Oryzias latipes: one gene and its partner. The protein of the gene in region 2 interacts with the protein of the main gene of each other region in a pairwise test. Links are inferred from orthologs where the notes say so. Each region holds a gene or a part of one and is shown on either strand. Other genes may lie near its edges.

What was found.
Region 1: the proteins of lamtor5 (region 2) and telethonin interact in binary tests that used the Homo sapiens proteins (3 or more experiments, as listed by UniProt). The link is inferred for Oryzias latipes from reciprocal best matches to the Homo sapiens genes LAMTOR5 and TCAP.

What each region holds. Positions count from the first base shown.
Region 1 is NC_019866.2:5,747,928-5,751,484, forward strand, and holds telethonin, read right to left. Parts: upstream 2,152-3,557; 5' UTR 2,041-2,151; coding exon 1,892-2,040; intron 1,814-1,891; coding exon 1,423-1,813; 3' UTR 762-1,422; downstream 1-761. UniProt on the Homo sapiens protein: Muscle assembly regulating factor. Mediates the antiparallel assembly of titin (TTN) molecules at the sarcomeric Z-disk.
Region 2 is NC_019865.2:10,897,463-10,901,388, reverse strand, and holds the start of lamtor5 (ragulator complex protein LAMTOR5), read left to right. Parts: upstream 1-1,198; 5' UTR 1,199-1,337; coding exon 1,338-1,372; intron 1,373-1,461; coding exon 1,462-1,523; intron 1,524-3,316; coding exon 3,317-3,434; intron 3,435-3,926. UniProt on the Homo sapiens protein: As part of the Ragulator complex it is involved in amino acid sensing and activation of mTORC1, a signaling complex promoting cell growth in response to growth factors, energy levels, and amino acids.

The DNA of each region.
Region 1 (3,557 bases), on a different chromosome or scaffold from region 2:
TATGGTGCTACACTGACACTAATTTTCAAAAAGAAGCTATAAATAAGTCGTGATAGTTTAAAAAACCCTAAAGAGATTGTTTGAATTTTGGACTTCAAAGCATTTTATTTGGATTTTATCTGTTGTAAATCATTAAAGTGTACTTTTTTTTTAAACTGAACTGTAAATCTTTGTTTTTTGGTCAACGTCATGGATTTTTTTGGTTTAATTTAGGGTTTTTCTGCGGTGGTTGGTTAATCTGCTGCATGTTTTCATTTTTTATTGTGACCTACGGTTGTCTATTTACAGATTTATTCTGGTTTCCCTGCTGGCAAACACTAAAACCATCAAACCATAAACTTGTACTTACATTTTAGAGAGGAATTCCTCTAGTTTAATAATCAGTATTAGTTTTCCTAAAATCCCTTCTCAGTCCACCTTAAACATCTTCTCTTTTAGTGTTGATGTTAGGTGACAGCATGTCTGACTGTTTGTGGAGGTCTCCGATCTGGTTGATCTCCCACTAGACTTGTGGTTTTCTTCCTGCATGGTTTTGTCATGCTTGCCTCATTTTTTCAGTTTGACCTTTTTGGAATTATTTGTAACATTCATAGAAGGCTGGACTGTTAAAATATAATGCAGTACAGTGAGACATCTTTGGATTCTGAGGGTCCGAGTCTGTGAAATGGACTTTATTAGTAACTGTTAAACTCAGTTCCTAATAAAGATCCTGAGTTTTGAACGTTGTGTTTAGGTTGCACTGTAAGGAAAAACAAATAAAATTTGTGGTTTTTCAACTTTTATTATGAAAAATAATAATTTCCTAACAAAAAATCAGCATCATTGCACCTTTGAAAATGATTTACACACTAATACAAGCAGCTAGTTTATCATCGGTTTCTTTGTGAGAAACAAATAAAAGCCGCCGCTAAACTAACAAGACAGATGAGATACGCCTCTATAAAAAAACAGGTTGTCATTTTTCCCAAATCCCTGCCTGGTGATGTCCTTTAGTGCACACACGGAAAAAACACTCGATCTGAAAGCAGCAATGTGTGTGTGATTGTGCCAGTGCATTCTGTTCCCTCGGCGAAGATCAGAAGCTGGCAGAAGCTCTGGAGTCCTGGAGAGGGACTAACATGGTTTATCACACCCCCTCTGACTCTCCTCCCTCTTTCCATCACTTTTTTGACCTGCGTGGTTCTTTCACTCATTATTTTCCATTACGATTCACAGACGTAAACTTTTAATCTAACAAAAAATTGTACTTTCAGTTGTCCTTTTGTGGTTAAACCCTCAAGTCCTGACAATCAACTTCCAACATCAAAATGTGCGACACTACAGACGGGTTTACGTTTCTTCTCAAAATTATCCCTGACTTTCTTCCATTCTTGAACTTGTCATTTTTCTCATCCCCCTCTTTCCCTCTTCTTCCTCACTCTTTCACCCTCTCTGGACCTCCTGGGACATGGAGCGACCCAGGACTTGAGGCGATTTGGCGAACTCCATGGTGGCTAGTTTGACAGGTGGGAGGTCCCTGGTGATCTCGTCCACGGTCCTCTTGCCAGGACAGAGCCCGTTTGGAACTGGGATAGGCACCAAGTCCTCCTCTGTGTGTGGGCCTCCACGCCCCAATCTGATGCCCAGCTCTGTGGGAACAAAAATGGGCAGGGGCAAAGTGTTTCTCTTTGGCAGCAGTTGGTGCTCCTTCACCCCTCTTTCCACAGTGCCCACCCTGACGACGCCAGAGGGGCAGGACTGGGTCAGACAGCGGGCCTGCCACTGCCGGGACAGAGTCTCCCGGCGGGAACTGTCGTTCATGTTCATGGTTTGTCTGTGGAATTCAAGAATTCCATAAAAATCTTCTTCATAGGACAACCAATTTGAGTTGAAGGGAGTTCAAATGTCTCACCTGTCCTGGGGCTGAGTCTTGAGGTAAACACTGACCCAGTCAGCAGCGTAGCTCTCCTTCTGTGCATTGTTCACCTCCCGCACGCTGCAGGTCAGCTGACCTCCCACCACCACACCGTTACTCTTCTCCAGCACACTGCAGATTGGCATCTTCTTTCCTTTGGAAGATCTCTCTCAGACTTACGATGTCCTGAAGATGTTGGCTTGTCTTAGTGATGCTTCAGGCTTCCTCTGTCTCTGCCTGGGATGTCTTTGCTTGGGTCTGCCTGTGGTTTATATAGACGCCCTGTTGCTATTTCTGATTCGTGTTGTCATTCTACAACCAGCGTGGACGACATCTGACACTCAGTCCAATGCGCCTCATTCCCGGACAGCTGGAAGCTCATCCGAGGAGGCTCTCTGGGGGTAATTGAGCGGAAAATCCCCTGATTCTCAGATTGTGCGCCCAGTCAACTTTTTAATCACCCTTACCACACTTTCCAGCTCCGTTAAAGTATCAGTAGACAGTGATTACATAAGCAGGGAGGCAGGGATGGGACAACAAGATTTGGGTTTTGACAGACACAAACAGCAGGTGAGACTTCAATCAATCCCTAATATAATACAAGTGCAGCGAATAAGTGATTCATGTCTGACTCGGAATACTGCAGTTTGTAATAACTGCTGCTGCTTATCAATTATGAAGAAGTACTAGCTGAGATTTTACGATGCTGCATGACAACATCAGTCATCAAAGGCCAGCGGATCTTCATCCTGATTCATGAACCTGGTGACAGAGCACTAATCAGCTCAGGTTACAGATCGAGAAGCGTCCACGTAGACTCCGACAGATCTCTGCCGTGGTGCCTCACTACCGGTCTTCGTCTGTGACTCATTCATCCTTACGGGGCACTTATTTCACCACAGGGCAGGTATCACTTATCGCACACGGCACAGAACATGACCCCCACAACAAGATGCTCCATCAGACAACAATAATAATACTTTGGATTCTGATGTTAGTTTTGTCTTCTGGTTAATCCACTGTGCGTTTGATCGTACTTTTTAGTTTCGACAACACCTTATGTTAACATGAACTTTTTTTGGATAGTGGAAAAAAACGAAATGTCACCACCTCAGACATGTTGTGAAACCATAGCAACCACGAATGTCATTTCAGAAGCCTCTTAAATCATTTTGAAAGTACCATCCCTGTTTTTCAGCAGTTGTAGACCTGAAACGAGAAAAAGTCATTTTCTTTTGCAAATTATGAGAGCAGAGTGGTTATTATTTAGAAAATTGTTACAAATGTGTGAGTGGTAAAAGTTTGTGAGCTTCAGTGACAGTCAGCGGATCTGTATCACCGTGACATCTGTGCGAGAAAATAACTAAACTTTTCCAGTAACTGCTGTTGGTGACGCAGGCAGAGACTTTTTATAGGAATGGCCAGAGAGATCCGAACACCAAAAATAAATGGAAAACAAAATAATAAATCAATGTTGCTTCTTCTGCAACAGAAGATTCTTATCGCTTTAACGCTACATGTTGTTTATTTGCAACGTACAATTTAAGCCAGGACTCTACCTGAATGGAAAAGACACTGAAGGATATTTTTTTAAATAATTGAGACCAAAATTTCAAAACTTTTAACAAATTAAATAGAAATAAACTGTAAACAATAAAGAAAT
Region 2 (3,926 bases):
CATCGGGTCTGCTGTGTCGGAGCAAAGAATTGTGGGAAATAATCTCCATTGCCTGCTTTTTTCGAAATTGGGTTGAGCACGGATGTTTGTTCTGCCTAATTCATTTTCATGTGCCGGTTTTACGTTGTTTCACTCTGAGGTATTCTTTTTTTTTTTTTTTTTTTTTTTTTTTTTGCACCATAAGTGTGAAGAGCAAATAGGAGGAAGACATTCTTTAGAGTCTGATGTGTCTAAATAAAAGCATTAAGTGTCGGCTGCTCAAGCAATTTCAAATTAAAAGCTCCAAGCTTCCTCTTTGAATTTAGTATGTAGCATATTATGTGTAACGCCTCAGGAACGGCAAATGCCGCCCCCTATGAAGTGCCGCCCTGGGCGACCGCCCACATCGACCATATCAAAAACCGCCACTGCACTGCAGTAAGATAAACAGTTTAAGTCCCACTCCAATAATCATTCGATCTATTTTCAGTGTTTCCAGTACCGGTAGTCTTTTAATTATAACTATGCCGCTTTTAGGCTAAATCAAAAAACCTTTGTCGTTTTCAGGGACATACATAGTTTCTGCAGCGTGGCAGTAGTTCATTAGAAATTCATCTCTGAGTTGTGGGCGGGACTGTTGGCGAGGACTAAGCCAATCCCTGCTTCCTATCATCAGTTTACAGCCCCTCACAGCCCCCAACCTAAAATTATGCAACAAAAATGGCTAGCAATATTGGAGCTATGCAGCCATACCGTTTTGATCCAGATGTCAGCTCTGGCAAAGAAAACAAAGATGTACAAGGATCTAGTCATCTACAAGCCAATCCATCATAATGGAAAATGCTGCTGGTTGTAGTAGCTTGTAGTAGCTTCTACGTCAGATCTGCAGGATATTTCAAATGGCATTTTTGCACATGCTACTGATTCACAACGATTTGAATAAAGAAATACTCAGAAATGCAATTTTAATCTTATTTTTTTTATGTGTCCTGCATCATCAGAAAAATGTCACAAGAATTAAAAAATACACCAAAAATCATTTATTTGAATTAAGCCGTCAATTCTATTCTATTCTATTCTATTCTATTCTATTCTATTCTATTCTACTGAAAACCAATTATTTTTAATTTGTACTAAAAGATACAGTTATCAGTCTGTCTTTAGTTGGTTGTTTTGTAGTTTTGAGTTGGCTCAGCCGTTCGCGCTTCGTCTTGTTTGACCCTGGCGATGTCTCTTACTGTACGTCACAGTCACATGATTGTCAGGAGGAATTTAAGGAAACAAACGTCAACAACAAAAAATACAATTTTTGGGCCATAGAACTTTACATTTTCTGATTTTTTTACGGTTTTCTAAAGATGGAGTCAACCCTCGAACAACACCTTGACGATACGTGAGTTCTAATCTATGCTAACTAGCTTGTTTCTTTACATTTCGTACATTCGTTTGGCTAATTCTCTTGATTTCGTGTTTTTTCTGCAGCATGAAAAATCCAGCTGTTGTTGGGGTTCTATGCACGGACCAACAAGGACACAACTTGGGCTGTAAGACTCTTCAGAGTTAACAGGAAGTCACATCACATGTATTTATTCACGAAGTACCCCGTAGTCGATATTCTCTAGTTCGTCAGTTTCGCTAATAAATAAATTCCCGCAACAGTTTAGTTTCCCCAAAAACACAAGTTTCCACCGCCAGCTGTTTATGAGAGATCATGTTGTTATTTCTGATGTTTTAGTCTTTAATCTCATTAGAGAAATGTTGCCAGTGAGTGAGAGAGGCAAAGATGTAACTCAGAAAGAAGACCCATAGTGTTTAGGTCAGTGCAGATCATGTGTAGACATCTGTCTCCTAAAGACATCCTTTGCTTACATAACGGGATGTGTTACTTTTTCCAAAGAGGCCCATATTTGCAGTGAATCTTAGAACTATTTGAAACACATTAAATTAAATATACTGCAATGGGATACTTTTCATGACATTTCATGATTACATGACAGTCTTCACATAGAAAACAGACATCTAACTACGTTTTTACCAAAATTACTGTCACATTTGTATATTTTTTGCACAGTTCATTCACAGTTAGCTTGTCGTATTAGCATGTCTTATCTGGTAGTTTCTCTTGATATTGAACTCCATGAAAACAGCCACAGTCTTCTGGCCCATTAGGCAGACACAGTTGTTTTATATTTCACTGAAAAAATGTTCAAATTTTCCATTTGTCCTTTAAGAGGTTGACCCTTAAAGAGCTAGAGAGTGTCACAAAAGGGTCGCACAACAGTGTTTCCACAGGTTTATAAAGTCTGATTTAGCCAACCACACAGCTTTTAGATATTGTTGCAGGACGCGTTCTGTTGATTTTATGTAGGAGCCTACGGGCCGGTGAAAATTTGAAAGGGGGCCGGATTTGGCCCACAAGCCGGACTTTGGACATGCCTGGCTCTCATGACTGATCGACTGTTTTCCGTGTTGAAGACCTGAGTCGGAATAATTTAAAAATGGGTCTTCAACTGAATAAGTAACAATTTCCTCTTGAGGCAAACTGATTTGATCTATTATATGATAGTAACAGTTCAGACCAGCAAACATAGCAAAGAATTCTGGCTCACTGTGGTGGTCTGATCTGCTGCTGGTTATTACACCTTTGCTGCCAGATGTTAAAGCTACATGTTAAATTATCACACTGTTGGTGCTCTGACATTGTAAAAACGTGAAATCAGATTTACTTTAAGAAAAAAGTTAAATTCTAAATAAAGACTGCAGTCCAAATGAACTGATCTGATGAGCAGAAGGATGCATCTAAAGCAGGTCATCATTTAAAGTCCCACTCTGATCATCTTTTGATCTATTTCAAAAGCATTCCTAGTCTTTTATTTATGATGAAGCTGTTTTTGACCCAAAAAAAATAGTCATTTTCCAGAACAAAGTTTCTGCAGAGCAGCACTAGTTTTTTTAAAAATTCACCTCTTGAGTTGTGAGCAGGACTGTCGGCGTGAAGTAAGCCCACTTGTCGTCACTCATCTGTTTACTGTTTACATGCTCTCCTGCTAGCTTTCAGCCCTTCAGACCCCAAGCCTAACATTAGCGGTACATCAAAAATAGCGAGCAGTATCAGAGCTATACAGTCCTAGAGTTTTTAACCCGATAACTGCTCGGATGAGAAAAACAAAGACGTCCATGGATCTAGTCTGGATTCTGCTGATTCACAACGATTTGAATAAACAAATCCTGAAAAATGCATTTTTGAATATGTTCTCCATCATCAGAAAAATGCCAAAAGAACATGTTTAAAACACAATTTTCATCAGAGCGGGTCTTTGACATATTTTTTTTTTAGGTCGTGGATCTCTGTCAGATGAACATGGAGGTGTGGTGTCTGTTCTGGCTAAACAAGCAGCTGCTCTCACCAGAGACCTGACGGACACACCGACTGTGTGCCTAGAGTCCGAGTCAGGGTGAGCCATGGACTGTGCCTTTGCACAACTTCTTCTATTTCTTAGTTTTAGTGCATTTAAGGTGTGCCTTTGTAGTTTTAAATGTGGAAGTGTACAAATAAGAGTTCCAAGACGCTGTGCAATCAGCTTCAACTTCTGTGCCACAGAGGTGCAGCAGAGATGAGCATCCTCTATACCTGCTGGTCACGTGGGAGACCATGCCTAATTATTTTTCTGAGTATTGGCTCCTCTATACTATTCATGACTTTTGGAACTTCCGGATGTTGGAATATAATAATTTCCCCACCTCCTCAATACTGTACATTTAAGTCATTTAATGGATGATTTAATTCAAAGTGGCTTAACAGTGAGATACAAAACAAACCATATTATCCAGGATTAAGTGGTTGTGAGGGTTAGACTCATGGATAATCATATAGGCAGACCTGGATTTGAGTATTTATTTTTTTGGACTATGCTGCCACCTTCTGGACTCTTTTAAACTATTGAATG